Linked DNA regions of Macaca mulatta. The protein of the gene in region 7 interacts with the protein of the main gene of each other region in a pairwise test. Links are inferred from orthologs where the notes say so. Each region holds a gene or a part of one and is shown on either strand. Other genes may lie near its edges.

Region 1 (3,839 bases), on a different chromosome or scaffold from region 7:
ACTTAAAAGTCCCCGCAGGGCTTAGTCCTTAGGCTGCTGAAGGGGAAGGTCCCACTGCAGAGGTATCTTGCCTGTATCATCAGATGGGAGACACACAGAAAGGCATAGAGATTTCTCTGGGCCAGAAGATGAAAACTGAAAACAAGTCATGCCATATCTCATGTCCAAAGTTCCTAATTCTCCTGTAATCCCAGCACTTTGGGAGGCCGAGGTGGGCGGATCACCCAAGGTCAGGAGTTCGAGACCAGCCTGGCCAACATGGTGAAATCCCATCTCTCCTAAAAATATAAAAATCAGCCGGCTGTGGTGGTGCATGCCTATAATCCCAGTTACTTGAGAGGCTGAGGTCGGAGAGTCGCTTGAACCCAGGAGGCAGAGGCTGCAGTGAGCCGAGATCGCGCCACTGTACTCCAGCCTTGGCGACAGAGCAAGACTGACTCAAAACCATCCCCTCCCCCCCCAAAAAAAACAATAACAGCAACAAACACGAAGTTCCTAATTCTCCTTCTAGTGCGCGCGCCAGCCCACACACTCCACAGTGCCTCTGCTTACCTCTTCTCAAGGCATTCTGGGCGTCCTGAGTCATGGCGTCTGCTTCATCCAAGATCACTAGCTTAAAGCCTTTCCTAGAAAAACAAATGGTGCTGTCTAAAGATTTCTTCAATCTCACCTCAACATCGGGGCTCAAACCTACATCTTCCCATGTGTGCCATCGGGTCCTGTCTCGGAAAGGCTATTTCTTCTAGAACTTTGGCCAAGACAGACATCTTTGGTCACTCAGAGAGGAAATACCCCATCACTCCTTCAACACTTGGTGGGAATGGAGGACTGACTTCTCTACTTCTATGCGCTGTGTCCTCTGGCATCTTCACTTTCCTCCACATACCACCCTACCATGCTACTGCTTTCCCCATCTCCCTCACTCACACCAGAGTCTCTCACCCTTTCGCTTTTTTTGAGACGAAGTTTTTGCTCTGTTGCCCAGGTTGGAGTGTAGTGCCGCAATCTCGGCTCACTGCAACCTCTGCCTCCCAGGTTCAAGCAATTCTCCTGCCTCAGCCTCCCGCGTGGCTGGGATTACGGGCGCCCACCACCATGCTCAGATAATTTCTGTATTTTTAGTAGAGACGAGGTTTCACTATGTTGGCCACACTAGTCTTGAACTCTTGACCTCAGGTGATCCACCTGCCTAGACCTCCCAAAGTGCTAGGATTACAGGTGTGAGCCACTGTTCCTGGCCCTCACCCTTTTTCTTTCTTTTCTTTTTTTTTTTTAGCCACCATCCTAGTTGTCTTTCCTGATCTCAATTTATTTTAAAATTCAAACTAGCTCATCCAGGCTTAGGGTAATCTAACCAGTTCTCAGGAACTAAAAATGAAGAATGCTTCCCTAAAGAACTTGGTAATACAGGCTGGGCTCACGTCTGTAATCCCAGCACTCAGGGAGGCTGCAGCAGGCAAATTGCTTGAGCTCAGGAGTTCGAGACCAGCCAACGCAACATGGCAAAACCCCATGTCTACTAAAAAATACAAAAATTAGTTGGGCGTGATGGCTCACGACTGTAGTCCCAGCTACTCAGGAGGTTGAGGCTAGAGGATCGCTTGAACCCAGGAGGTGGAGGTTGCAGTGAGCCGAGATCATGCTATTGCACTCCAGCCTGTACCATAGAGGGCGATCCTGTCTCCAAAAAAAAAGGGGAAAAAAAAAAAAAGAACTTGCTAATACAAGTGTAGACAACATTTTATTTTAGCAGTTGCATTATAATACTTCTTACTACCATCCTCTCCTTTATCTCTTTTCCATGGTTGCTTTGGACAAAGTCAGTATTTTTTTTCAACCCATATAAACTGGCTAAGGAGAGGATTAAAAAATTAAGCCATGTCATCTTACTAATCAAAATCAAGGGAGCGAAATTACACAAATAATTCTTACTTAAATATTGTCCTTGTGCTAGCAAAGCTCAGGATTGGTCCTCGAACGATGTCTATTCCTCGGTCATCTGAAGCGTTCAGCTAAACGTGGAAGACAGAAGTCAAAACAAAAAGCATGTTGCTATGCTATCTGTGAGTTCTTGGTTTTAATGTATCTCCTCATCAGTCCAGCTCAGCAGGTTAGCTTTCTATGTCTAATGATGGCTAAGAGATCATCACAAAATAAAAAATCAGTTTTACACAAAACTCACTAAATCAATAAAGATGGCTATATTACCCCCACCGTTTGAGGACAATGACTGACATAAGCTGGAGAAATAATTAATTGGTATGGTTACACTGAATAGCACCTCCGGTATGAGCAGAATGATACAAATTTCAGCTACCACAATCCCAAGGTTACCAAGTTCTTAATAAACTGACATAAGGACATTAGTAGCAGCAAAGTTCTGAGACCTGCGTCTAAAAGGTAAATTAAACTTTTCTTGCAATAGACAATATTCACATTTTTGAATCTAAGTATGTTAGTCAAGGTTGCAGCAATATACAGATGGCATACTCAAACGCAGCAATTTGAAGAGAATTAAACAAGGAGATCTTTTTAAAGGTGCGATAATAGGAAAACCATGGGGCTATGCAATACCCGTGACCCTTAAGCCTGAAGGGGTTAGTGAAGGGAGTGGCTGTAGGCACCTGGAGAGGGCTGCAGGAAAGGTACCACCTGTGAGATGTACCCTACAGATGGGCCATGCTGCCAGCCTGTCAGCCCTCAGGGAAGGTCCCGGCATCACTCACTTCCTTCCCCTACCCCTGCCAAGGCCTCTATTGGCCAAACCCAACCAGGAGCCAGAGGGTAAGTAAGCTTATAGTCAGTAGAGCTCAGCCTTCCAGGCAGGAATAGGGTGGAGAGACGTGGAGAATTGATCTGGAGGGGCCATGGCAGACAGGCAGCAACCAAGTAACCATAAAGGAGGGTTTGGGTAGAAGTTGGCAACAGCAAAGAAAAAGGTGCCTAGCCCTACAACTGCCCTCTAGCTGACCAACACTAATCCAGACTAAAATGACCATTATAGGAAAAAGGGAATTAAAATATCTTATTTCGAATTTACTTCTTTCCTAACTGTCCATGGGGCAACTTACTTTTAAAGTAAAATAAAGCCAGCAGAACTGAAATTCAGAGACTGGAGTCCTAAGTTATTTGTGGAGTAAGAACAATTGTATTTACCTCCAAGACCATGGAGCCAAATTCTTTGTCTTTATACAGCTGTTTCGCACAGGCTAGGATGGTAGATGTCTTGCCTGTCCCTGGGGGACCATAGAGAAGCAAGTGTGGCAGTCGGTCTTCACTGATAAACTTCTGAACTGAGGATCAGGAAGGAAGAAGGGCACCATCAGTCTTTGGGAGCCGCCTCATTCACCCTGGGCTCCTGAGTTGGGCTGAAAGCTCTTCAACCCAATGCAATGTCCAAATCAGAGGCAGATGCAACTTGATGTAGGGGCCTTGTCTCTGCGTTCCTGGGGCAACTGGAATTCACTCAATAGTGCAGCCAGCCAGCAAGTATTTATTGAGGGCCTACTGTGTTACAGGCACCTTTCTGGGTGCTGACAACATCTGTAAACTTAAATCATTCGCTGTAATGCTATTTTTACTCCACTGAGTTGCAATTTTATGCTCATGTTCGTGACTTACCCACTAGACTGCAGCTATCTGAAGAAGATGAATGAATGATCTTAAAGCCACATTCTACAAAGCTCAATCAGATTCTTTGAAGTTATTACTTAGGAGAGACCTCACCAAGAAATTCACACAGGTCCCTCAACCAGGACAAGAGCAACTGACACATGGATACTTACTGGTACTCAGAATGTCCTGATGAGAAATGAGATCATTCAGGGTCTGTGGCCGGT
Region 2 (3,839 bases), on a different chromosome or scaffold from region 7:
ACTTAGTCAGCAGTCTGCAGAACCTCTTGGTGGAAGGGGCTTTGGCTCGGCACTGTCACCATTATGGAAGCTGGTGGGTGCAGGCCCTTGGTTCTGGGAGCGCGTCCTGCTGATGGACTTGCTCAGCTCCGTGCAGGCCTCAGCTCACTGGCCACCTCTCCTGGATGCTGGGCACACAGCCCGGAGCGGGGACAGGCCCCAGGAGGGCTCCTTCCACCCATCACATGGCCTGGTCGGCGCTCGGAGGGCTCGGGAAGAGCCCAGCTTATGAGGGCGGCCTTCTCCCAAGTTCCAATTCCTTCTCATTAATATAATAAGTGCACCAGTCCAAGTCAATAAAATCATACTGTCGGATGAGACGCATCTCTGCCCATTCCTAATGATGCGATCCTAACCGGCTCTGACGGAGCGCCGCAGTCTCTTTTCTGCAGTGGGACAGAGAAAGGCTCGGTGCTGACTGACAGGGGACAGGAGGCGGCGGTTTGACCTCTTCTCTTTGACAACTTCCCTTGAATTTCCTGGTCTTTTCGAAGCCCTTCAACCACATAGGTAAATAGTCCCAAAGTGACCGAAACACTTGGTTTTTCACAAGGGAAGTCAATGTTTGAGGGAACAGGGAAAGACGAGGCTTCCTTCCAGCAACAGAGAGTCGGTGGCCTGGGTCCCCAAAGGGGGGCTCCGACAGTATCCACGGAGGCCCCGGCCCTCGTTTCCTGGAAGCAGCGTGGGTTCTGGAAGGAGAGGCCTGCTGCCATGTGACCTCAGGAAAATCTCTCGAGCACCTGGATTTCAGATTCTTCTTCTGCTAAAGGGAAGGATCGCTGGATACTTGGGGCTGTCAGGGGCATGAGTGCAGTGTCCCATACTCCCCGGGGGGTGGGTCCAGACACATCTTCCCTTTGGAGCTAAAAGAGCTCCTGAGGCCTGGCCAGGTGGGGACGAGAGTTTCAAAACAACCCCCTCCCCGCTACCCCCGCTGGCTCCAGCAGCTGCTGGGAGCCACTAGTCTCTAGGCTCGTACGTTTCTCCTAATTGTGTGCAACGTGCTGAGAGTCTCCCTGGAATCTGTGTGAACAGTGATACTTTCCACAGGACACTGTGACTTTCAGAAAGTGCCTCCGCCCAGACAATGCTGCTCTCTCTCACACCCCACTTGCTGCAGGCACTCAGGGGTCTGGGGATGGGAGACGTCCTGGCTTGAGCCATGGAGTGGGGTGGAAATGAGCTGGAATGGGGCGGTGTTCAAGGAGGCGGCGGGCAGCTCCTGGGGCCCAGCTCCCTCCTGGGGAAGCAGATGCTGGTGGGCGCAGCACACAGTGGGTGGGCCTGGGGGCACCTTCCTCTGCAAACGCACCTCAAAGAGCCAGGAGCTAGCCCCGAGAAAGCAGGGGCCCTCGCCCACTCCATGGGCCTCTGGGAAATGTGCCCACAGATGGGCAAGGTGAAACCCAGACAGCCTTGTAGCAACGCACCGGAGACCCTGCTCCTGTGTCCCACTGCGGGGGAATGCGGGGCTTTCTTGGTTCCTGTGTTCTCGCTAAATGAAAAATCCTCCATTGTCCAGCATTCTAAGTCTCACATTTGGTTACATACCCAGTGTATGGATTCTAAAGCTTGCCATTGCTTCACGTGTCCCCAAAACACACATCTGACCAAGTGTCCTCCCGAGTTCAGCCCTTCAGCAACCCCCGACCCCTAGGGTGGTGTCCAGCCCACAGAGCTCAGAGTTCAAAGCCCTGCCCGCCTTTCTCACCGCTCCTGCAAGGACCCTGGTCTGTGGCAAAGCCAGGCTCAGCTGCACGCCGAGGCTCACCCACTCTTTCCTGGAACACTGCTCCCGCCTTCCCTGTCCCAGCAGCACCTGGTCACCCTTTATGGTCCAGCTACAATGTCACCTCCTCCCTGGCAGGCACCTGGCACCCACAGCCTCAAAACCGCCGGTTTAAAGGCCAAAAACGAGGAACAGCACAAATGTCCAGCCCCCAGGAGGGACGGACCCCGGGTGCTGCCTGTGAACGAGACACTCACAGCAGTGGGAAGATGCTGCCCTGTGCCACAGACACACCCCCAGCTCCAAGCAACCGGCTCAGTCAGCTTCTCCTGCAAGGGCCGGGAGGTGACCAGAGGGTGCGGGAAGCCCCAGCTGGACTCCTCTGGCCATGGCTGACTCCCTTCTGGGTCACTGTTCTGAACAGATGAGAAAACTCTGGGGCTTAAAAAAGGCATCCTCCTGCCCTAACTGACCAAAGACACGTGGGGAGAATGTTTGCATCTCCCTGCATGGTCACCAGGACCGCTGGGGGATGCTGGGGCACAGACAGGTCCCCCTTACCTAGGGAGTGGGCTGCAGTGGTCTCAGAGCTGAAGAAGCGGCCCAGACCAAGGTCACCGAGCTTCACGACGCCTGTGGCTGTGATGAACACGTTGGCAGGCTTGATGTCTGCAGGGTGAGCAGAAGGAGGTTGGTGTGAGGTAGGAGGCTCGGGGTAGGTGGGACAGGACGAGACGAAGGGGGAGCTCCGGGTGAGGTGAGGCCTAGCCCAGGTCCTGCTCCCTCAGGGCAAGGCCCTGTCCTGGCTCTGGCTGTGGGACCTCGGGAAATTGACCATTTCTGAGCCTCAGTTTCTTCACCTGTAAAATGGGTCTCCCTTCACCAACTTCACAGGGCTACTGTGAGGGTTAAGAGAGCAGGGGTTTCTGCGCTCCTGTTTCCGGCTCTAGAGCCGTATCCTCCAGGCTTAGACCAGTGCCTCGCACACAGGAGGCCCTCAGGGAAAATCTGTGTAACGAATGAAGGAGGCGCTCAGTGGGGCACCCTGTGCCGTAGCCCTCAGCGAGGGCGGGACCTCAAATACAGCAGACACCGAGATATACAGGTAGAGTTAAGGAACGGAGGTGTTCAGGAAGCAGCCTACATAAAGGACCCCGCGCCCTGCCAGGCACCCACCAGGCTGCTTTCTCACAACTCGGAGTGATGTCAGCTATGGTAACATCCCTCTCAGGTGCCTCCCGTTCTCAGCCCAGCCCGCTGGGACGGCAAAGCCCCCATGAGAGGCCCCTGTGTGCGGGGCTTCCCCTCACCTCCCTCCCAGGCTGCTGTGGGGAACTGGAAGTGGTGCTGGGGCTCACGTCACTTTCCACCTAGGTCCCTGACCCGGGTGCGTGTGTGTGTGGTTGCTGGACAGCCTCCCTGCCTAGGGAATACAGAGCGGTCCAACTTCCTCAAGGGGCTGCCCCTGAGGACCCTGCAGGAGCCATGGGAAGCGTCTTCCTGGGGCTCAAGGGGCACTTGGGCTCCGGGCGGCTCCTGGCGGGTGGCGCGTACCTCGGTGCATCACCCGGCGTGAATGCATGTGCTCCACGGCGCTGCACAGCTGCACGAAGTACTTCCACACTGTCCTCTCCGGGATGAGCCGCTTCTGCTTCTTAAAGTACTGCAGCGGGGGAGACAGGCAGAGGGATAGGCCCGGGTGAGCGGGCTTGGAGGTGGGTGACCACAGGGCACTGTCTCTGTCTTTTCCCCAGTGGGCAACTGGTGCCTGGCACGGGGGAGGGAGTGGGGATTGGGCAGTTGAGAAACAACAATAAGCCCAGAACCAAGAGTGATGTGTCCACGCCTCTCCTTCTACCTGAATGGCACTCCGCGGCCACCCTGTCCCCACCCCGAAAGCTCCGTGAGGGCTAGACAGGCCTGGTGTGTCCGAATGGCTTTGCTGCATGGACACCCAGATCAAATATGCTGAAAGTGGCCCTCAACTACATTTTTCCAGAACCTCTTGGACACATCCCAGACAGGGTGTTCCTTGCAGGACTGAAATGGTGTGGACTCTCCCTGTCCC
Region 3 (4,273 bases), on a different chromosome or scaffold from region 7:
TTCACTGCCAGTGAGAAGTAAAACAAAGGGAAGCCACCTCTAGGCCCAGAGTTTGGTCTTGAAGTTTTGCTGACCTCTCAACTCTCAGCTCATTAGCATCAGAGGCTGAGAAGGAGGTTTAGAATCTCCCGGTTTATCATCCAAGGAGGTAGATAACCAAAAGATCTTAACTGCAGCTTCCTTTCAAAGCCCAACGGCCAGACCGAACACTAGATGGGAGATCCTCCCATCTCCACCATAGACCCATCCTCACCTAAATAGAGAGACCTTTCCTTGGATAGGTAGCAATTGCTCCACTTTCTCTTCGGTATAGTTGAGGTACTGCAGCAGCTTCTTCTGCCCTATGATATATAGGAGTTCCGCCAGGAAGAAAGAGTCTCCCTCACTCAGCAGATCCTCTGCCAAGAGATGTTCAAAAACATCTGAGGCCGAGCTGGATTTCTCCAGCTTCTTGTTGGGAACCAATCCTATGCAGAGAAACTTGAGGCGCTCCACATCTTCGACCCCCAAGTCTGAATCAATAATCAGAAGCTTCTTACGAAAGCTCACTTTACAGTTTTTATCTGAACTGGAACCTTGAGATTTCATGGCCAGCCTGAAAGGGACAGAGAGGTGGGGCAGGGCATTAGAGAGTGAGGACATATGGCCCCCTGACTTCCCAGGCCCTCCCCTCACCACAGCCTCCTCCGTTCCGGGCATTAGACTTTCCTGGAAGTGCTGACAAATAAAAATTACTGCGAGGCTACTTCAAAAACCAACAGCCCAGAAAACTTTTCCCCCAACACTGGCAAGTTACTTTTTAGGAAGCTTGGAGGGTGCTTATATTGGAACTCAAATCACCTTGATTTTTCCCCAAATCAAAATGTTCCCAGAGGGAGAAAGTTAAGATGGAGGGACACAGCACAATTTCCCTCAAGCCTGGTAACCTGATTGGAGCCCTTACATTCATTTCCACCAAGTGGCAGAAATAGCACTTGGATCTATGCTTTAAGTTTTAGACACAAAGCAATCTGGGGGAGGCAGCGTTATCCTTATGATCTATCAACCCAAAGATAGCGAGGTACCATGAAGTATGTGTGTTACATCTTTACTTCAGACTGCTACCTGTAAGAGGGCAGGCCTTTATCTTACAGAAAGGGAAGGCGTAATCCTAGACCTCAAGCCTGAGCAACATGGCGAGACCTGGTCTCTACTAAAAATACAAAAAATTATCAGGGCATGGTGGTACGTGTCTGTGGTTCCAACTACTCAGGAGGCCGAAGTGGAAGGATCATTTGAGGCTGGAGGGCAGAGGTTGCAGGGAGCCATGATCATGCCACTGCACTCCACCCTGGTGACAGAGTGAGACCCTGTTTCAAAAAGAAAAAAAATAAATAAAATATCCTAGACCTTAGCAGGAAAGGGTGGCTTTAGACAAGAGTTGCTCAAATCAGTGTAGGAAGTTACAAATTACATGAGGTGGCTGCTCTGTCTATGGAGTAGCCATTCTTTTGTTTCTTTGCTTCTCTAATAAACTTGTTTTCACTAAAAAAATACAAATTACACGAGTCAATGTTTCCATCTGACCAGTTTATAAACTACGCTATTCTCTATACTAAATTTCATCATAATCAGAGGAGCAATGCAGTGATAAAATTTTCATTGTAATATTATTTATTCTATAAGCATTTGAGGTATATAGTTATTATGCAGAACTTGGCTATTTTTAGAAATAAGAAAATACTTTATAAAGGAAGGAACAGGTGGGGTGCCGTGGTTCACGACTATATAATCCCAGCACTTTGGGAAGCCAAGGTGGGTGGATCACTTGAGGCCAGGAGTTCGGGACCAGACTGGGCATGGTAAAACCCCATCTCTACAAAAAATACAAAAATTAGCCAGGCTAATGGTGGTGCACGCTTATGGTCCCAACTACACCAGAAGCTGAGATGGGAGGATGGCTTGAACCTGGGAGGCGGAAGTTGCAGTAAGCCAAGATTGCGCCACTGCACTCCAGCCTGAGTACTGGAAGGTGAAAGAACGAGACTCCATCTTAAATAAATAAATAAATAAATAAATAAATAAATAAATAAATAAAAGAAGGAAGGAAGGAAGGAAGGAAGGAAGGAAAACATAGCAAAAATCAAAACCTCCATAACAAAGAGTCGTTATATCGAGGTGACATAACTATAGATAATACATATTTCCTTCTGGGCTTCCAACTGAATTTCTCAAATTTTATGCATATGTGAACACACACATTACTTTTGGTGTTAAAAGAAACAAAAAAAAACACAAAAAATGTCATTTTTAATTGTGATAATCCAGGGGGTCTTCCCTGCTACTAGCCCTGAGGTCAAATGAGTGGTTTATTGGAGACACCTTTCTATTCTACCGCATCTTGCATTTGCCTTGTGGTTTCTTGACAATTCCGATCTTTAGTTTTAGTGAGTCTACCCAACTTTGTCTCTGTGAGCTAACATATTTCTGCCCCAGTAAAAGGCTATGTTGGAGGCTTCCGGATTTTTTAACTTTTGTTTTCCCAGGCATGACAAAGAAATCTAAGAAAAAATAGTGCCATTGCTGACAAGTTTTTGCAAGTTTCTGCAACATGAAGCCATGAAGCAAAGGAAAAGATCCAAGCATGAGACTCTGGGGTAAGAAGGGTCGTTAATTACATACCTTCAGATCAAGCTCCACCAATCCTCTGGAGGTAAACGATTCTCAGGGAAATTGCCTGAAAACAAAGTTTTAAAGAAAGTATAATCCTCTGTGTGCTCCAAGGTCCAAGGAAGCTCCCATTTGCTTGGGAAGAGACTTCAAGATTTGCTGATCGTTAAGTGAAAACTGAATCTTCAGGACTGGGTAGCCTGATATTAATTTCCTGCTGATGTCATCATTGCTTATCTGCCTTTTTCCCTCCCCTTTTCCAGGGTTAAGATAACTTTGACAAACAGCGTCTCCTAAAGGCTAATTTACAACTTTCTCACTGTAGAGCTTGGGGTTTCCCCAGGTAAAGCAAAAGCTTCCTAGAAAGGAACCCGTGGAAGCCAGGAAGTGCTCCAGGCTTTCCTCTGATCTCCGTTTCCTTGGTAAGTCAAACACGGGAGCATCTATTTTCCTAACCGTCTCCTTCCCCAAACACACTTCACTTTTCAAATAAAGCCAAAAAGCTCATGAAATAGTTGTCGGCCGTGTTAACCCTTTCTTATGTCCACATGCAAATAAACAAATTACTTTTTTTTTTTTTTTTTTTTTTTTTGAGATGGAGTCTTGCTCTGTCGCCCAGGCTGGAGTGCAATGGAGCCATCTCCACTCTCTGCAACCTCTGCCTCCCGGGTTCAAGTGATTCTCCTGCCTCAGCCTCCTGAGTAGCTGGGATTTCAGGCATGTGCCACCACGCCTGGCTAATTTTTTGTATTTTTAGTAGAGATGGGGTTTCACTGTGTTGACCAGGCTGGTCTCAAACTCCTGACCTTGTGATCCACCTGCCTCGGCTTCCCAAAGTGCTGGGATTACAGGCGTGGAGCCACCGTGCCCGGCCCACAAATAGAATTTTTAAGAGATAAAAGAAAAGTGGAGATTCACTTTCAGACTTTATGGGAGAAATTAAGAAATAAAAAGAAAAAGAAAGGAAAAAGAAAGAAAAGTGGGGATGGTGAATTACAAGCCCATTTAGAGGTATCTGCAAGAGACTCAACCAATTTGTGGCAGACAAAACTGACAGTATGTGTTCTCACAGCACATTCAAACCAGCAGGAAAGTGAGACTTTGAAGACATTATTGCTAATAATAAAAACAATACTGCACACTAATATTGCAACTACCGTGTGTCAGGTACAGGGCATTTACAAATATTTACTCATTTCACCATCCCAACAACACTCTAAGATAAATTCTGTTACTATGACCGCTGCTTTAACATGTGAAAACTAAGGCACAGAAAGGTTAAGTAATTTGCCCAATGTCACACAGTGAGTGGCTAGAAGAGCCAAAATTTAAACCAGCAAGTTTGGATCAAAGTCACTACACTATAATTAAGCTAACTCAAATATGTAGCACTCTGGAAAGAGGTACAGAGTCTTAGAAAGATGATTTTTCTATGAGAAAAAAAGCAAGACTTACAATGCTTTGATTACAAATGTATTAAAATGTCCTTTCCATGTCCTAGGCATCATTCAGAGAACTTCTGTGCTTAAGAAAGACAAGTCCTGGGGCCAGGTGCGGTGGCTCATGCCTGTAATCCCAGCACTTTGGGATGTTGAGATGGGCAGATCATGAGACCAACCTAGCC
Region 4 (3,839 bases), on a different chromosome or scaffold from region 7:
GGTGGGTGGGTCACTTGAGGTCAGGAATTCAAGACCAGCCTGGCCAACATGGTGAAACCCTATCTTTACTAAAGATACAAAAAATTAGCCAGGCATGGTGGCGGGCGCCTATAATCCCGGTTACTTGGGAGGCTGAAGCAGGAAAATAGCTTGAACCCAGTAGGCAGAGGTTGTAGTGAGCCGAGATGGCGCCACTGCACTCCAGCCTGGGTGACAGAGCAAGACTCTATCTCAAAAAGAAAAAAGACAGACTGAAAAACTAAAGCAGAGGAGTACTTTGCCTTGCCCACAGTCACGGGACAGTGACACTGCTGGGGCCCAGCATGCCTGGCCCACAGAAGGAGGGACTTGGCAAAAGAGCACTATTATTATTACACAGCGAACGGGGCTGAGACTTCAGGGATGCGCTACGTGTGTACAGAGAAGATGAAATTCCAGGAGCTTCTGAGTTTACCACCATCCACCATTTAAAGATCAAGAGAAAAATCAAGCTTTTCCATTAAACAGAGATCCTTCCTTTATTATAAAAATACATTCTGTTGAGTTACCAGGAGTAAATGCAAATAAAAAAAATTGCAAAGTGAAATAAAAAAGAAAAACACCATCAAAAAACCCTTGGAGTTTTGGAAAAAAAAGAACCTCCCCTTCCCTGAAGACCTTGCCTCTGTAAGTCCTCAGTGGGGTCCCAAGGTGAGTCTGCTGTGGCCTCTGGCCAAGAAGCTAGGCTAGGATCTGACATTACTGAGGATAAGTGGTCAAACAGGTGCCCAGGGGGCCACTCCTGCCTTTCCCTGGACTTGCACACCATCCTAGCCATCCAGGAACACCAACGTTTCTGTGCTAGGGAGTCTCCAAATACACAACCCCTAAGGCTGATTCAAGAACAAGAACCTAACGCCACTATGTGCAACAGCCCCTTGCCATTATTACAATCTCACCCCTTATCTGCTCTCATTTTTCTTCACTGCCTCTAGCACCACCCAAGATTGTACACATCTGCTTACCATCTGTATCTTCCCCAGAAGAATGAGCTCCATGAGATCAGAAGTGTTGTTCTAGCCACCATAATACTCCCAGTGTCCAGGCCAAGGCCCATGCACAGCAAGCACTCGAATACTTGTCAAGTCATGAATCAGGGAGTCACCTGATCTTGGCTTTTTAGCAAAGTGTGATTTAGTGACATGCGCAGAGAGAAAGCAAGAGGCAGCTGGCAGATCCAGACACAGCAGCCTGGCCACCTTCTTAACTCCAGAACCACCTACCGCAGGGAAGAACAATGACCCCCGAACGTGCACGCCCGTTTCCAAACATCTTTCTCAAGCTCTTCTCCTGATAGGGTCTGAGGACAGCTGTGGGCTTTAGGTCAATGTTGATATCAGGGTTGACAGAATCATTCCGGAAGTCGTATTCTGCCAAGAGAGGGTACTCCAGGTGGATGCAACGTTTCTGGAGTTCCTCAATCATTTCCTGGAAAGTAGGCACAAAAAAGGTTTTAAAATCTTAACTCCAAAGTGTGCTCAAAAACATCACATCTTGTAACAGGTCTAATGGTCAAACAAGTGGCATTCTGTCTAAACTTCTACAGTTTTAGATCTTGCTCAGTTAACAACTGGGATAAAGCACAGAAAAGCAACCCAAACTAATAACACTTTCAGGCACTGTTTCTCACATCTCCTCAGCAACTTGTGAAGACCAGCCTACCAGCCTGAAAAAGAGGACACTGGGACTTTAAATCCATCAAGAGGAATGATGCCATGGCCCACAGATAATGAAAAGTAGAAAGCAATGCAGGGACCAACAGGGATTCCTTTCTTTCACACAGACTACAGGCAGAGTTGACACAGGGCTGGACTAACTTCTAACAGCAACTCAGTGAGGGAACCAGGAGGAAGGTCCATTCACACTAACCTGCTTGACTTCAAAAGATACCGTCTGTGTCTCTTCTTCTTCTTCCTCATCCTTGTCCATTTGCTCATAGAAGTCAAACAGGTCCATGGGGATGTCAGATTTACCCTGTGGATCTGTCACTCGGGAAGTGGAGGGCCCACCACTGCCTTCAGCAGTCTTAGAAATCTGTGAGAGAGGTAGGTGCTGAATGTGCACACATCATTTAATTCTGCTGGTATCAAACAAAGGGTGAAGTTGTAAAGGGTAGAAACCAGCAGGGCTGCCAGGTTGTAAATGCTGGGTAAAAGTCACCTGAGAACTGAAACCCTAAATGCCTGCCCCCACCCAAGGGTAGCCCAGGAGTCCACGTACGGCAGATTTGCTTGTGAAAGTCTCTGTGATGAGCTCAGTGGCCTCCCCTTCAGAGTTCCTTAAGCGGCATTCTCGGATCACCGGGTCCTGGAGAAGATGCTGGATTACATCAGGGTGGGAGCTTTCAACGAAGTATCTGCAAGCAGGAGAGGAAGAAGCAGTCTGCTGACCAGCAGGTACCTCCTCATTCCACTGCTCATTCAATCAGACGGTCTGGAAATACAAGCCTCAAGACTCTCCCCGCAACCCTTCGCCCAATCTGTACTATGAGCTGCTGGCCATGATTTAACATATGAGGGTTGTGGGCAAAGCCCCACTTTGAGGTCAAGTAAGCGGGGGCCTGAGCCCAGCTCCATTGCTAGAGGAAATACAGTGGCCAGTGGACGAGTTTCCAGTCTGGGCCACACCTCTTGTTCCTCTTCTCTTATCTGTGCTTCAGAGGAGTGTGGTATTAGCACAGAGCAGACAGCATAAACATCAGGTCCTTCCCATATCCCTTTATTCCTGCTGGTGCGCAGAGAGTGACCATGACTCGGGACAGGCCTGTCACGGAATCTCTTACCTGTTGTGCTTCAAGACCAGCTTGACTTTTCCATAGCTGACAGTACACAACTGCAAATAGAGATAACACCCAATAGGTAAATGTGCAGCTAACTCAGAACACATTCACTACTGGTCACATCTTACCCCAACCAACCAAGTGAAAAATTCATTTTACTTTAGGACAATCCTAACGGGTTCAGATCTGCCTAAACTGAGCTTTTCCCATTGGCCTCTGCTTTCTGAGAACAAAATCTTCCTCTTGCCTGGCTAATTCTGATGCACATCCATTCAGTTATAAAACGCTGCTTAAAATCTCCTTGCATTCTGCCTTTCCTCTCTATTCCCACAGCCCCCACCCTAGCCTGAAGACCATACCAGTATTACAACAACTCTTTGCACAGAGTATGTGCACAGTAATTGCTGCTTAAACAAAATGCAAAGCCTCTTCACCAATGCTCCTATTTCCCCAAATAGAATGTAAGCATCTTGATGGCAGAGAATACAGCTTAAATCCTCCCAGGTTCCCAACCACCTTTAGGAAGGAATACAGTAGAGGCTGTGTGGCAACAATAAAAATTTGCCACTGAGTCCAGGCATAGTGGCTCACGCCTGTAATCCCAGCACTTTGGGAGGCCGAGGCAGGTGGATCACCTGAGGTCAGGAGTTCGAGACCAGCCTGGCCAACATGGTGAAACCCTGTCTCTACCAAAAATATAAAAATTAGCTGGGTGTAGTGGCGGGCGCCTGTAATCCCAGCTACTTGGGAGGCTGAGGCAGGAGAATCGCCTGAGCCCAGGAGGCAGAGGTTGCAGTGAGCCAAGATTGTGCCACTGCTATCCAGCCTGGGCGACAGAGCAAGACTCCGTCTCAAAAAAAAAGAAAAAAAAATTTGCCAGACTTTAAGTGGCTGCCTGTTCCCGCTGTTGTCCCTGATCCACCAGTGCAGTGTGCCAACACCTACATCCCTGCAGGCAATTCGCAGCCAAGACTGAGCATAGCCACAATGTTGGTACAAGGTCCTCTCCTTGGGCACACTT
Region 5 (4,398 bases), on a different chromosome or scaffold from region 7:
TTCACTGGGCCCTCCCAGTGCATAGCGCAAAATTCCTCCAGAACTATCTACCTATCTCGCTCTGATTCCTTGCCCACAAATCAACTTCTTATGAAAAACTCAGCTTTCCAGGCACTGTGACACCAGAAGTAAAAGAGAAAATGAGACAGGCATTTAGTCCACTAGAAGGAGATTTACCTCCATTCAGAAAAAAACAAAAACAAAAACAAACCACAGCTGATTTCTGACTAAGTTTCATATGACCAATTAGTGTGAACCTATCATAGATCATCTACAGGGTATTCTTAAAAAGTCCAATTTCTGGCTCAAAAAGGCTGAGATTTGGACCATGGAAGTTAATGCCTCAATCAAAGTGCTAAAGTCTGTTATCTACAGTCAGTTGTACCTAGCCACTTCCAAGAACTTCCCCATCACCATTCTCTCCAACACCCCCATCAAACCTGGCTATTGTTCTCAAGCCTTAAGACTGGGTCTCTGTAGTAAAAACAGCAATTGCAACGATAATAAAAACTAAAACTACAGGTCTTTGATAGAAAAGGAATAGTACTTACATTAACAAAATCTCCACCCTGAATCATGAAATCCTTTATGACCCTGAAACAGAGAGCAAAGAATACTGAGAGAAGATTTTATGGAGACTTTGTTATTATTGTATTAGATTAACATTGATTTCAAAATACACTATAACTTTGGCTATTATAAAATCACCATTCTTAGCTGGGTGCGGTGACTCACGCCTGTAATCCCAGCAGTTTGGGAGGCCGAGGCAGGCAGATCACATGAGGCCAGGAGTTTGAGACCAGCCTGGCCAACATGGCAAAACCCCATCTCTACTAAAAATACAAAAATTAGCCAGTCGTGGTGGCACATGCCTGTATTCCCGGCTACTTGGGAGGCTGAGGCAAAAGAATTGCTTGAACCCAGAAGGCGGAGGTTGCAGTGAGCCAAGATCATGCCACTGCACTCTAGCCTGGGTGACAGAGCGGGACTCTGTCTCAAAAAAAAACCAAAAACCAAAAACCAAAACAACAAAAAAAGAAGATTATTCTTTTCCTGGAATGATTAAGCTGAAAGGATAATTAACCATAAAAAAGGATTTTAGTTATAAATTAGGGCATGTTAGAGTTGATCAAGTGCATGATCTGGTACCTGAACAGTAACAAGAAGAAGGGGCTGAAAGCCTGCAGGAAGAATGACCACATTACTTGCCAAAGCAAAAGGCAGATCAAGGATTTGATGTAAATTTGGGGCAAAGAACTACAGAGAATTTATGTGAAAGGTACTGCTACACATGTAAGGGCTTAACAATTGTTAGCTATTACCCCTAGGGAGGGTCCTTAACCTTTGTTATCCTCAGTTTCCTCCTCTGTAGAATGCAGATCACACATACCACTTCACAGGAGTCTTACTGGGGATTAGAGACCCACAGTTCTAAAGCTGTGATATAATTATGTGCTAACATTGTTACTAACCACAGTGAGGCCATGAGAAAGATTCTATATTGAAATGAGACTAAGTGTTGCCATACTCCACTCCCCAGGAAATATGATTATCCTTGGACAATCATATATGATCATTTTAGGAATTAGTTATAAATAGCAACCAGCAGGATATATTATATGCACTTTAGGATTACAAGTGTACTTCTTTAAAAATCTGCATTTGCACAAACAAGTGCATGAAAAAGACAGGATATTGTAAAGATGAGTAGTTTCTGTTTTAAAGACATAAGAAGTGGGAGAGTATAAGTAGAGTTAGAATATTTAATAAATCTTCAGTTATTGAGTCCACAAAAACATTTCTTCTTAAGAAATGTAAGAATTACCTCTGGTTTTATTTTCCTCTAAAGAGCCTAATCCCCCAGGAAATATTTCTGAAAGACTCTAGGATGGCTTGCCAAAAGCCTTACCTGTGGAAGGTGCTTCCTTTGTATCCTATTGGAACCCCATCTTTTCTATAACAAAAAGAAAGAGACTTGGAGTGATAGCAGGTAGCACAAGGCCTTTCCAGTTTACCATGCACTGGAGCCAAAAGGACTCTCCTAAAGATGGTTGACAGACATAAAGAAGGCAAATAAACTAGGGACAGACCCTTGGGGCATTACCTTCTATCACTGTCACCAGCAATCATTCAAGGCCAGCAGCTGGTTCACCGATACCCTCACCGCAGCCCCAGAACACCCTTCTGGAGCAGGCAAAGAAGTCAAACACATCTGAAACTGACCTGAATTCTCCGGTGCAGAACTGCCTGAAAGGGACAAAAAGTGAACAATTCAATCACTATGACATCACAGTCGTGACCGCCTCTAAAGACGGGAAAGAATAAACAATGGAGCCAGCAAGTCCACCAATCGGCCAGCCAGACGTCCAAACACGGAGACGTACAGACTAACAACGTAAATTAACACGGGAACAATCCAAACGGCAACCAGACAGAGCAATGCACGGAGGAATCAGGTCTCAAGAGCAGTGAGCGGACGGACAGAGGTAGACAGGCTATTCAGGCGGCTGACTAGAGCCCGACTTCTGCCTCAGCTAATCCAGCGGAACTGGAGCACGTCCTTACCTAAAGTTCTCGGCCGTCTTAGGCACAACGTCTGCAAAGAGCTCGATCTTCATGCGGCCAACTTCCTGCAATCAGCGGGAGACTGTCAGAAGGCCCAGTCCAAGACCATGAGGGCTTCACGGAGCTGGGGGCAGGATGGGCTGACCCACCACCCTGCCGCTCGGTATCACCCACCTCCGCCTCTCTGGTCTAACCGCCCAGTTCCTCCAGAAGCGGGGCGCTAGGATTGGGGAGACTTCTCCTCATTTCTCCCCGCCCTGCAGGTCGGTAGGTTCGGGTGCAATTTCGCTTTCTGGCTGGCTTCCCGAGTCCGCTCTCTCTGGGTGAGTTCTGCCTGCCTAGCTAGCCCCGAGCAGTTTCCCTTCGGCGCAGGTGTGGGTAGCGTCCTGGATCTCACCTGACCGCCAATGCTGACATCAAAGAACACCACGGGGTTAACAGGACTTGAATTTGCCACCGCCATGGCTCCGACCCGGAAGCAGAAGTCGGGAGCGTGGGATTCCGGCGAACCTAAAGCCCTGTCCGCGGGTTTCGTCCGGGGAGCAGGCGCGGTGGACGCCGAGAGAGACCGGGCCCCGCCCCCGGAAGCTGTCGCCCCGTGCCGTGTGTGCTGAGGCTGCTGGGGTCTAGCTGGGAGACTCTCCCTGAGACGGGGGACGCGGGAGTGAGGAGGAGGAAAGCCTTGACATCTTTTTGGTTAAGGTCGATGGTCACCCCACTCACGTGGCTGTACTAAGGGCAGTACAAGTTGATCTTGCTCTAGCTAGGGCTTTTGGACTAGGCAGTCGCCAGGGTCCTCCTTATCGGCTCTTGCAACCAAGCCCTCTACACCGCCACACGTGCTGTGTCTGTCTTCTGCCCGCTAGTCTGTGAACACCGTGAAGGCAGGATCTCTGGTTTGTTCATCCTCAGCGTTTAGAACAGCTTGGCACGTAAAGGCTTGCTAAGTAAATATTTGTCCCTTCCTCTAAGTCAGGACAATAGATTATGTTTCCGTTCTGCCACAAGCTCCCAGTTTGGTCATTTCCAATTCGTTTCCCACAGAGTAACTAGAGTTTTTTATTTTTTATTTTTAAAATACCTCTTGTGATTCCTATTTATTTTTAAAATAACTCCTGGCTTCCTATATTTAGAATAAAATCCAATTCTGTACATAGGAAGCCCTCCAGTGCATTAATCTGGCTATTACCTACCTGACCTCATCTTGTACCACTTGCCCTTAGTTACTGTGCTCTGACCTGTCTGCTCCTCCAGGTCACTGAGATCCCTCCTTTCTTTAAGGCCTTGTAATAGCTGTTTCTTCTGTCTGAAATATTCCTTCCAGATCTTAATGTGGGTTGGCGGGGTGATGGTGGGGTTTGGTTGGGCTATGTGTGTGGGAAGTAATGCTCCTTGTAGTTCAGGGCTCACCCCAGATGTTACCTCCTCAGAGGCAACATTAGACCTAATCTAAAGTAGCCCTTGGTCACTCAGATCACTGGTTTGTTTTCTTCATGCCACCCCCCATTTCACATTTGTATGGTATGTGTCTGCACCTCATTTCCTGCCACACACACATACATCTTCCTCCCTAATAGCATATAAACTCCATGAAAGTAGAGACTCTCTCAGTCCTGTTCGCAGCTGTAGCTGCAATGTCTCCTACTGAATAGCACATAGTAGGTAAATATAATAGATTCAATGAATTTAGTGAAAGAAGGGGAACTTGGGCAAGACTCATTAGCTATAACAGCATGCATTTAATATAATAGTTATTATTTCCTAGGTCCTTTGATCATCTTTTCTAGCTCTGTCGTCGGAGGAAGCAAGAATTACATATAAAAATCCAGTGTG
Region 6 (4,401 bases), on a different chromosome or scaffold from region 7:
AGCCTAAAAACATTACTGCGAGAAAACACACTTTTATCATTGTGTATGAACCAAGAAGACAACATAAGACAGCATTATCAATGACAGGCTGGTAGGCACAGGTGCTCGTAAAGAGCGAAGATGTCTCTAAACCAATCCCCAAGTGTTTCTAGTGTTCCCATGTAGGCCAACTCTATGCCACATCATCACGGCACATTTCCTGCTACGGGATTTTTAAATATTCTATAGAGAGGTCCTATTATTCCCTCACAGAGCTCAAAGATTCAAGATCCTGAGTGGGTTTTTTGATTGTTTTCTTAGACAGCGTGCAGTGGGGGAGGATGTACACAAAGAAAAACAAGGAAAAGTAAAGGGGCATGGACCAACAGATGAAAAACTAAAAGGAAGCTGATCATCTGACAGTATACAAATGCAAAGGCTTTGATTTTCACAAATAACAAAACCCAATATAGAATAGTATATTTATGAAAAAATTTGACTTGATTTATATTACATCCTTAATAATATACAACTATAAGTCCCGACCACACCATGATTTTGAACACCTTGTTGTTCCCTTCTCCCTGGATAAACATTTTAAAAATACAAATGAAAACATAAAAGGAAGAAAAAGAAAGAAATCAAAACAGAAACCAGTATCAAATATTCTACATTTTAAAGTTAGTAGGTTCAATGGTCCTGTGAAAAATACTTCCTTTCTTTTTTAAGAGAAAAGCAAGTTTACTAAGGATTTTTCTATAGTCTTTTCCAGAGACCCAAGGCTTCTAAGAGAAGTTATCTAGTCTGCTTTAACTATTGAGCCTTAGCTCATGTGGCATCATAGATGCCTCAATAATATTTTTCTTGGAATTAACTTGTGCAGCCTCTTACAATAAGACTTTTAAATGAAGCATATACTTTCTTAACCAAGATTGGATGACAGAATCGTTATTTTATTTTCCCAGAGCACAGAATATTTCCTAACTTTTTACAGATTCAGCAAGTCATTAAACAGCTCAAAAAATTAATGCCATCAATATACTGTAGGTATTAGGAAGCAGATGTGTGCAAATTATAAGTTGACCTTTATTTACCTGTTTAAAAAGAAAACCCTAAAGCTTAAGAAAACCCTGAAATATTTAATAAAGTCAGTAAAAATTTATAGTATTCAATTATATAATTATGGCATCAAAATACAGATACGCAATTTCTACCTTAAGTTTTGAGTAGCAGCTCTGTAGATGGTCCATATCACTTCCCAGCTTCAAATTCTGTGTCTCCACATTTTCCTGAGCTAGAAGGTTCTTCCGCTGAAGCACAAGCAGCTCATTCATACAATTTAAAACAGCCACTATATTTAACTCTCTCTTTGTCTCTTTACCTTTGGATTCTTCATATAATGAAGGAAAACCAAAAGTAGTCAATTCCTGGTAGGAGAAAATGTTTTCTTAAAGTTGGTTACAGTTGAGGAGATACAGGTCAGAGGATATCTAACTTTCAGTTAGATAGGAAGAGTAAGTTCAATAGATCTATTGCATGACACGGTGACCTCAGCTAATAACTACGTACTATATTCCCGAAATTGCTGAGAGAGTAAATTCTACCACAAAAAAAATGATATAAGTATCTGAGGTATGCGCACTGCGCCATTTCACAATGTGTATTCTGAAACATCATGTTGTACATGACAAATATATAAGTTTTGTCAATTAAAAATTAAAAATATATGTGAATTATTTTAAACGGTTGGTTACTGGACAACTTAGTTTAAAAAAAACAAAAGATAGAAATCTTTTCTGAGAAAAATAGAAAACTATCTTGAAATAGTTAAGAAAATGGTCAATATCCCAAAGGACAAAGAGATAAAAGGACGGGGCTCTTTTAGCCTCTGCTATAAATCTGTGACATGGAGCAAGGCACTTGGGTTTCTGCATCCATAAAGTGATGGCTAGACTCTCAGTGGAGGAGCCCCTGGGACAATGAGGAGGCCAGCCTGCTCCAGATAAAAAAGTTAGACTTGCTTGCTATCTCTAGATGAGATAATCACCAAGGTTCTCTGAAAATCTAAGTCTCAGGGGCACTATATAAACAAAAAACTTGAGTTTGACAAATGTTTTTCTCGTAACTTTGATACATTCTATTATATAACATGATTTATGCTACTGTTTTTTACAAAAACATGTTACCTGATCAAGATATGAAATACTCTGTTCAATATTATCCTCTGTGCAGAAGGCACTGAAAAAACTGTGCACATTTTTTGATAAAGGTATTGAAGAACATAGCACTTGCTGTGAGTATAAACTTGATGGAGACATCTTTATTTCTGAGGTATACTGAGAGATAGTTTTGCTTTCTGAAAGAATAAAAGGCACTTATATAAATAATTTAGAAAAACGTATGTAAAGCTAGCATAATCTCCATTACTAAAGACTTGAATTACATATATACACATAAACATAGATATAATTATACTATATACATATATATTTTAAGGTATTTTCAAATTAGGGCAAAGCCTCTTTTTTATGAAAACTATATATTTTTTTTTCCAAAAAGATACAAATAAAGTGGTGTTCTCAGCAGGCATGAAAATAAGTATTTTATAACCATTTATCTCTCTTTAGTCACATCTTCAACATCTGCAGTAATTATTTTATATTTTCATTGAAAAATTCACCTTTACAGTTTCTGCTTTAGTTTACAATTATTTAGACTTAGTTACCTGAAGACAGACCTCGATCTGTAACAGTCATCCAATCTCCCATAGCAATCTCTAGAGCCAGGAACCTGAGGAACTAGTTCAGCAGTTAAACATTCAGTCCAGCTGCTGTCACTCTTCTATGTAGGCATCTCCTTAAAAAGCAGATTATAGAATAATAGCATCTAATTTAAAATATGAAAGCCAATATAAACCCAATGCTTAAGAATTAGTTGTATGTGCTTCAAAACGAAGGATTTTGCAATATTTATTCCCATGCACAGAGACAGAACATGGTGTGTGTGTATATACACAGAAATATAAATAATATGTAAGGATCAAGGTTAAAGGCTTCCCAAGTTCTACTGAGGTATTCATATTACTTTATACACAAGATACATGGTACATGATTTGACTCAACATACATCTAAGGTATAGTATTGTACTAAGTAATATTTCCATATTATATCCTTTAAAATAAAATACAATTACTTATGTAGATGAGAAGATGAAAAACTTCTTGGCCAGCATTTCCATTTTTTTGTTGTTTTTACCAACTATATTGGCAAAACTTGTAAATTACAATTCCCAGTGTTGGCAAAGATGTAGAGAAATGAACACTTCCATATACTCTCTCCAGATTATAGCGATTTATACTACTACCAAGAAAGCTGACAATATGTATCAAGTCTTAAAAATGAAAATATATTTTGATCCAGAAAATCTACTTCTAAAATATTATCCTAATAAAATGATGTGTACAAAGATTAATCTAAAATTTGTTATTCACAATATCAAAAAAACAAAAATCACACGTGCTTATGTTTCCATAGAATGGCTAAAAAAAACCAATATATTTATACAGCATTTAAACGTAACTGTTGTGTAGAATTAGATGGCTAACAAACAAACAGCCAAAACTACAAATGGTATGGACTAAGTATAAGACACCCTTTCTGTTTCCATTTATGTTTTCACTTTTTTATAGAGACAATGGAAGAGATAAATATTTCTCCATCATAAGAAAAGCAATTCAAACGAAACTGTAAGTGGCAACTGGCAATTGATTTCAAGGTCAGAGGGAAGAGGAGGAAGGGTGAAGACTGTATGCAACCTGGGGAACACATGTCAATACTGTGGACAGCTGCTTCTTGGCTACAATAAATTGTGGTCAAGGGGAAAGCAGTTGTGTTGATCTTAGATGTTTTTATGAGATACTGGAACTCCGGATTTTTATGTGAAGTCTCCCAATTTTAAAATGTTAGTAGCTAATTTTAAAAAAACCTCTATGTATTAAGTTATCCTGTGGGAAAGAAGAGTGCCTAGAGAGGGAAATGAGTGAGGCTTCTGGGGTGCCAAGACTTTCTACATCTTGATCTGAGATGTGGTTACACCGGTATACACACGTTCAGTTCATCGAGTTGTACACTTTTTAAGATCTGTGCACTTGACTGTAAGTTAGTTATACCTCAAACAACAGCACTATGCAATAAGCCAAGTAAAATGTGTCTTTAGGCCAAATCTGGACTGTGGATCAAGAGCTCACAACCATTGTTCTGAATATTTAAGACTGTGGTAAAATATTCAAAATATAGTGTTAAATGAAACTTTAGGCCGGCTGCAGTGGCTCACACCTGTAATCACAGCACTTTGGGCGGCTGAGGCGAGTAGATCACTTGAGGTTAGGAGTTTGAGACCACTCTGACCCACGTGGTGAAACC
Region 7 (4,334 bases):
ATATATTATAATTATTAACCATGTCAAATCATTAATTAGGAAAAACATGAAAGAAGCATAAAATATGCAGATTATTAAAGTCTGTACGTAATTGTTATAATGAATCATTATATATTCAAGGCATCAAAGTTCAGTTTTTACAAATTAAAAAATGTTCAGAATGTTAATGAATTAATTTTAATATTTCTTTGCTTAGCAAAATATGTTTTAATCATAATATTGGTTCCAATGTGTTCTTTAAGAGTATGAAATATTTCTGATTTTCATGCATGAACCAGATCCCCTTTTTTGTTGTAACTGGATAATTACAGATATATATGTAATACTGCCCTCTAGAGAGTGGCTCAGGAGAAACTCTAAGTACCTGCAAACCTTAATTGCTTTTTTTTTTTTTTTTTTTGCCCATGACATACATGTGCCCTGCAGTTACTTTTGCTATTAACTGCCCTTGGTAGCCAGGCGCAGTGGCTCATGCCTGTAATCCCAGCACTTTGGGAGGCCGAGGCGGGCGGATCACGAGGTCAGGAGATTGAGACCATCCTGGCTAACAGGGTGAAACCCCGTCTCACCTAAAAATACAAAAAATTAGCCGGGCATGGTTGTGGGCGCCTGTAGTCCCAGCTGCTGGGGAGGCTGAGGCAGGAGAATGGCGTGAACCCAGGAGGCCGAGCTTGCAGTGAGCCGAGATCGCAACACTGCACTCCATCCTGGGCGGCAGAGCGAGACTCCGCCTCAAAAAAAAAAAAAAAAAAACAAAACTTCCCCTTGGTCAAGTAACAATCTGTTCAAATGGAAGATAAGTATTGTTGCAGTCTTATTAGAGCTGCCAAATTACAGCTGTGTAATTTTAACCCAGATAAAATACTAAAGAGAACCCATTAGGTTATGAGAAGGATAGCAAGATAATTTATCTTCCAAACCTGGACACTTCTCAAAGTGAAAAATCACACTAGCAATAATCACACTGGGACAACAGGCATAAATCAGGGTTGCCCCAGGCAAACTAGAGCATATGGTAACCCTAGCTATGAGGCAAACCTGGTTCTCCAGAATCTCCCACATTGCCTGATAATGTGCTCAATATAAACTTGTCAAAGGCAAAATAATGGTAACAAGAACTCTGTCTCTATATTATATGTGCATTAATTGATTTTTTTTTTTTTTTTGAGATGGAGTTTTGCTCTTGTTGCCCCGGCTGGAGTGCAATGGCGTGATCTTGGCTCACTGCAACCTCTGCCTCCTGGGTTCAAGCGATTCTCCTGCCTCAACCTCTCAAGTAGCTGGGATTACAGACATGCACCACCATGCCCAGCTAATTTTGTATTTTTTAGCAGAGACGGGGTTTCTCCAGGTTGGTCAGGTTGGTCTTGAACTCCCGACCTCAGGTGATCCCCCACCTCGGCCTCCCAAAATGCTGGGATTACAGGCATGAGCCAAAAGGTCGAGCCATTGATTTCTTGAGAAGAATTAGCCAGCTCTTTTGCCTTTATGTTGACACAATATGTCTTAGAATTTAATCTCTTTTGGAGTAATGTTCAACACAAAGCAAGTTGGCAATGGACTTGTCTTTCCTGGCCATGTCAACTTATAGTGGTATTAACTCATACCTCAACAGCTGAGTTATATCTGCATAAAACTTTTGGAATAGTCTCCATGACTTTTGATGAATTATCATTTCCTAGATGTCTGAAAACATTCCAACATTAGCTTCAGGGCCCTCTGTTGAATCAGCATAATAAACCGAATGACAAAAATCAAGATTCAAAGAAACCAAGGCTGATCAAACCCCTTGTTCTACTCTTTTCCCTCTTCTCACTCTGCACTTGACTAGTCTTAAGAAAAAAACCAGTCGGTCATAGTGGCTCACGCCTGTAATCCCAGCACTTTGGGAAGCCAAGGTGGGCAAATCACCTGAGGTCGGGAGTTCGAGACCAGCTAGACCAACATGGTGAAACCGTCTCTACTAAAAAACACAAAATTAGCCAGGCGTGGTGGCACATGCCTGTAATCCCAGCTACTTGGGAGGCTGAGGCAGGAGAATCACTTGAACCCAGGAGGCGGAGGTTGCAGTGAGCGGAGATCGCACCATTGCATTCCAGCCTGGGCAACAAGAGCGAAACTCTTGTCTCAAAAAAATAAATAAATAAATAAAATAAAAGTAAAAAACCAAAGCTACCTGATAGGCTAATGAGATAACATTTAATAGGGGTAAGTGTAAAGTCTTACATCTGGTTTTTTAAAAATATCTGGTGCATAGGCCGGGTGCAGTGACTCATGCCTATAATCTCAGCACTTTGGGAGGCCAAGGCAGCCGGATAACTTGAGGTCAGGAGTTTGAGACCAGCCTGGCCAACATGGTGAAACCCCTATCTCTACTAAAAATACAAAAATTAGCCAGGCGTGGTGGCAGGTACCTGTAATCCCAGCTACTCGGGAGGCTGAGACAGAAGAATCCCTTGAACCCGGGCAGCGGAGGTTGCAGTGAGCCAAGATCATGTCACTGCACTCCATCCTGGGCAACAGAGTGAGGCTCCATCTCAAAAAAAGAAAGAAAGAAAAAAAAAAGGGCCGGGTGCAATGGCTCATGCCTATAATCCCGGGACTTTGTGAGGCCAAGGAGGGTGGGTCACCTGAGGTCAGAAGTTCAAGACCAGCCTGACCAACATGGAGAAACCCCATCTCTACTTTAAAAAAAAAAAAAAAGAAACAAAGAAAATTAGCCAGGCGTGGTGGCAGACTCCTGTAATCGCAGCTACTCGGGAGGCTGAGGCAGGAGAATTGCTTGAACCCAGGAGGTGGAGGTTGCAGTGAGCTGAGATCGTGCCACTGCACCCCAGCCTGGGTGACAGAGCGAGCGTCTCAAAAAAAAAAAAAAAAAAAAAAATCTGTTGCATAACTAAAAGAAAATGGAGACTTGGTTTAAGAAAAAATCACATAAAGGCAATCCTCCAGATTAAACCTTGGAATTTTAATTAATTACAAATTCATCATGAGCCAACATTACAAGTTGACTAAAAAACTTACAGCAACTTCAGGCTGCATTAGTGTCCAGATGTGCAACATCCAGATCCAATTCAGCTACCAAGGGATATTATTTCCAGTTCCAAATACATTTTGGAAAGGACATTAACAAAGTTTAATGTCCTTAGGGAGCAATTGGGATGATAAAAATGATATCATATGAGAAATAGTTAGAATAGCAAAGGATATTTATCGCAAAGGGTGGAAAAATTGTGAGGGGAAGGGTAGGGAGGATAGACTGATATCTAAAAGGTTATCATGTAGAAAAGAGATCCACATTTTGTATAGCTTGAGGGCAGAATTAAGGTCATTAAATACAACTATAAACAGCCAATTTTAACCCAAGGATGAGCTTTATAACAATTGATATAGCAACAAATGGATTGGGTTGCCTTGTAGATTATGAGTTCCTCCTATCACTTAAAGGAGCTTCAGCATGGACTAGGAGACTGGATTAAACATTTCCAAGTCTATAATTATCCTGAAGAATTAATGCTCAGTATAATTCAAAACACATGAGAATTGCCTTCCCTGGGGTGTTAAATTTTATTTCAAGTCAATCAAAATAGATGTAAGTGGTCAGGCACAGTGGCTCATGCCTGTAATCCCAACACTTTGGGAGGCTAAGGTGGGTGGATCACTTGAGGTCAGGAGTTCAAGACCAGCCTGGCCAACATGGTGAAACCCCATCTCTACCAAAAAATGCAAAAATTAGCCAGGCATGGTGGCACACGCCTGTAATCCCAGCTACTCGGGAGGCCAAGGGACGAGAATCACCTGAACCTGGGAGGCAGAGGTTGCAATGAGCCGAGATTGTGCCACTGCACTCCAGCCTAGGTGACAGAGTAAGACTTCATCTCAAAAAAAGAAAAAACAAAGTATAAAATCAAAGATATTCTCATTTCACAATTTTGTGTAGTTCAAGTAGTCACCCTATTTCAGAAAATATTAGATAAAACCATCATTCAACATGAGCAGGAGAATCTCAATTTGAAGCTTTTGAGTGGAGATCTTGTCTTCCCAGAGGTTGTTTCCATGCTAATAGTTCAGATTTCACTCTTTTGAAAAGTAAATATTTATTTAGAAGCACTCAAGTGAACAATATATACACATTAGCAGAGTGTGAGCTTTTTGAGAAGGAGGAAAAAACAGAATTACCAGAGAGTTTAAGAGTGAAAGGTGGAAGGATGACTGATGAACGACAGAAACCTTGGCTTTGGAGGAAGGCACCAAACAAAAAGGGTAAGATAGGGTAAAAAAATATAGGATCTAAGTGAAATGGAGGAGGGAAAAATGATACCACAGAAAACAAG

What was found.
Region 1: the proteins of XIAP (region 7) and RFC5 interact in binary tests that used the Homo sapiens proteins (3 or more experiments, as listed by UniProt). The link is inferred for Macaca mulatta from reciprocal best matches to the Homo sapiens genes XIAP and RFC5.
Region 2: the proteins of XIAP (region 7) and NEK6 interact in binary tests that used the Homo sapiens proteins (3 or more experiments, as listed by UniProt). The two-hybrid records come from large-scale screens. The link is inferred for Macaca mulatta from reciprocal best matches to the Homo sapiens genes XIAP and NEK6.
Region 3: the proteins of XIAP (region 7) and CASP10 interact in binary tests that used the Homo sapiens proteins (3 or more experiments, as listed by UniProt). The two-hybrid records come from large-scale screens. The link is inferred for Macaca mulatta from reciprocal best matches to the Homo sapiens genes XIAP and CASP10.
Region 4: the proteins of XIAP (region 7) and ERCC3 interact in binary tests that used the Homo sapiens proteins (3 or more experiments, as listed by UniProt). The two-hybrid records come from large-scale screens. The link is inferred for Macaca mulatta from reciprocal best matches to the Homo sapiens genes XIAP and ERCC3.
Region 5: the proteins of XIAP (region 7) and PPIH interact in binary tests that used the Homo sapiens proteins (3 or more experiments, as listed by UniProt). The two-hybrid records come from large-scale screens. The link is inferred for Macaca mulatta from reciprocal best matches to the Homo sapiens genes XIAP and PPIH.
Region 6: the proteins of XIAP (region 7) and SSX2IP interact in binary tests that used the Homo sapiens proteins (3 or more experiments, as listed by UniProt). The two-hybrid records come from large-scale screens. The link is inferred for Macaca mulatta from reciprocal best matches to the Homo sapiens genes XIAP and SSX2IP.

Annotation. Positions count from the first base shown.
Region 1 is NC_133416.1:125,289,046-125,292,884, reverse strand, and holds part of RFC5 (replication factor C subunit 5), read right to left. Parts: coding exon 3,786-3,839; intron 3,294-3,785; coding exon 3,157-3,293; intron 2,013-3,156; coding exon 1,933-2,012; intron 627-1,932; coding exon 553-626; intron 1-552. UniProt on the Homo sapiens protein: Subunit of the replication factor C (RFC) complex which acts during elongation of primed DNA templates by DNA polymerases delta and epsilon, and is necessary for ATP-dependent loading of proliferating cell nuclear antigen (PCNA) onto primed DNA.
Region 2 is NC_133420.1:23,460,120-23,463,958, forward strand, and holds part of NEK6 (serine/threonine-protein kinase Nek6), read right to left. Parts: intron 3,435-3,839; coding exon 3,326-3,434; intron 2,441-3,325; coding exon 2,333-2,440; intron 1-2,332. UniProt on the Homo sapiens protein: Protein kinase which plays an important role in mitotic cell cycle progression. Required for chromosome segregation at metaphase-anaphase transition, robust mitotic spindle formation and cytokinesis.
Region 3 is NC_133417.1:106,284,907-106,289,179, reverse strand, and holds the start of CASP10 (caspase-10), read right to left. Parts: upstream 2,829-4,273; 5' UTR 2,662-2,828; intron 596-2,661; 5' UTR 589-595; coding exon 254-588; intron 1-253. UniProt on the Homo sapiens protein: Involved in the activation cascade of caspases responsible for apoptosis execution. Recruited to both Fas- and TNFR-1 receptors in a FADD dependent manner. May participate in the granzyme B apoptotic pathways.
Region 4 is NC_133417.1:9,997,111-10,000,949, reverse strand, and holds part of ERCC3 (general transcription and DNA repair factor IIH helicase/translocase subunit XPB), read right to left. Parts: intron 2,872-3,839; coding exon 2,822-2,871; intron 2,396-2,821; coding exon 2,260-2,395; intron 2,074-2,259; coding exon 1,909-2,073; intron 1,468-1,908; coding exon 1,263-1,467; intron 1-1,262. UniProt on the Homo sapiens protein: ATP-dependent 3'-5' DNA helicase/translocase. Binds dsDNA rather than ssDNA, unzipping it in a translocase rather than classical helicase activity. Component of the general transcription and DNA repair factor IIH (TFIIH) core complex.
Region 5 is NC_133406.1:198,099,936-198,104,333, forward strand, and holds the start of PPIH (peptidyl-prolyl cis-trans isomerase H), read right to left. Parts: upstream 3,070-4,398; 5' UTR 3,029-3,069; coding exon 2,963-3,028; intron 2,631-2,962; coding exon 2,566-2,630; intron 2,248-2,565; coding exon 2,224-2,247; exon of another isoform or gene 2,131-2,223; coding exon of another isoform or gene 2,105-2,130; intron 1,955-2,104; coding exon 1,910-1,954; intron 595-1,909; coding exon 552-594; intron 1-551. UniProt on the Homo sapiens protein: PPIase that catalyzes the cis-trans isomerization of proline imidic peptide bonds in oligopeptides and may therefore assist protein folding. Participates in pre-mRNA splicing.
Region 6 is NC_133406.1:155,895,486-155,899,886, reverse strand, and holds the start of SSX2IP (afadin- and alpha-actinin-binding protein), read right to left. Parts: upstream 2,837-4,401; 5' UTR 2,748-2,836; coding exon 2,705-2,747; intron 2,336-2,704; coding exon 2,166-2,335; intron 1,407-2,165; coding exon 1,194-1,406; intron 1-1,193. UniProt on the Homo sapiens protein: Belongs to an adhesion system, which plays a role in the organization of homotypic, interneuronal and heterotypic cell-cell adherens junctions (AJs).
Region 7 is NC_133426.1:130,313,787-130,318,120, reverse strand, and holds the start of XIAP (E3 ubiquitin-protein ligase XIAP), read right to left. Parts: upstream 2,892-4,334; 5' UTR 2,680-2,891; coding exon 2,415-2,679; intron 1-2,414.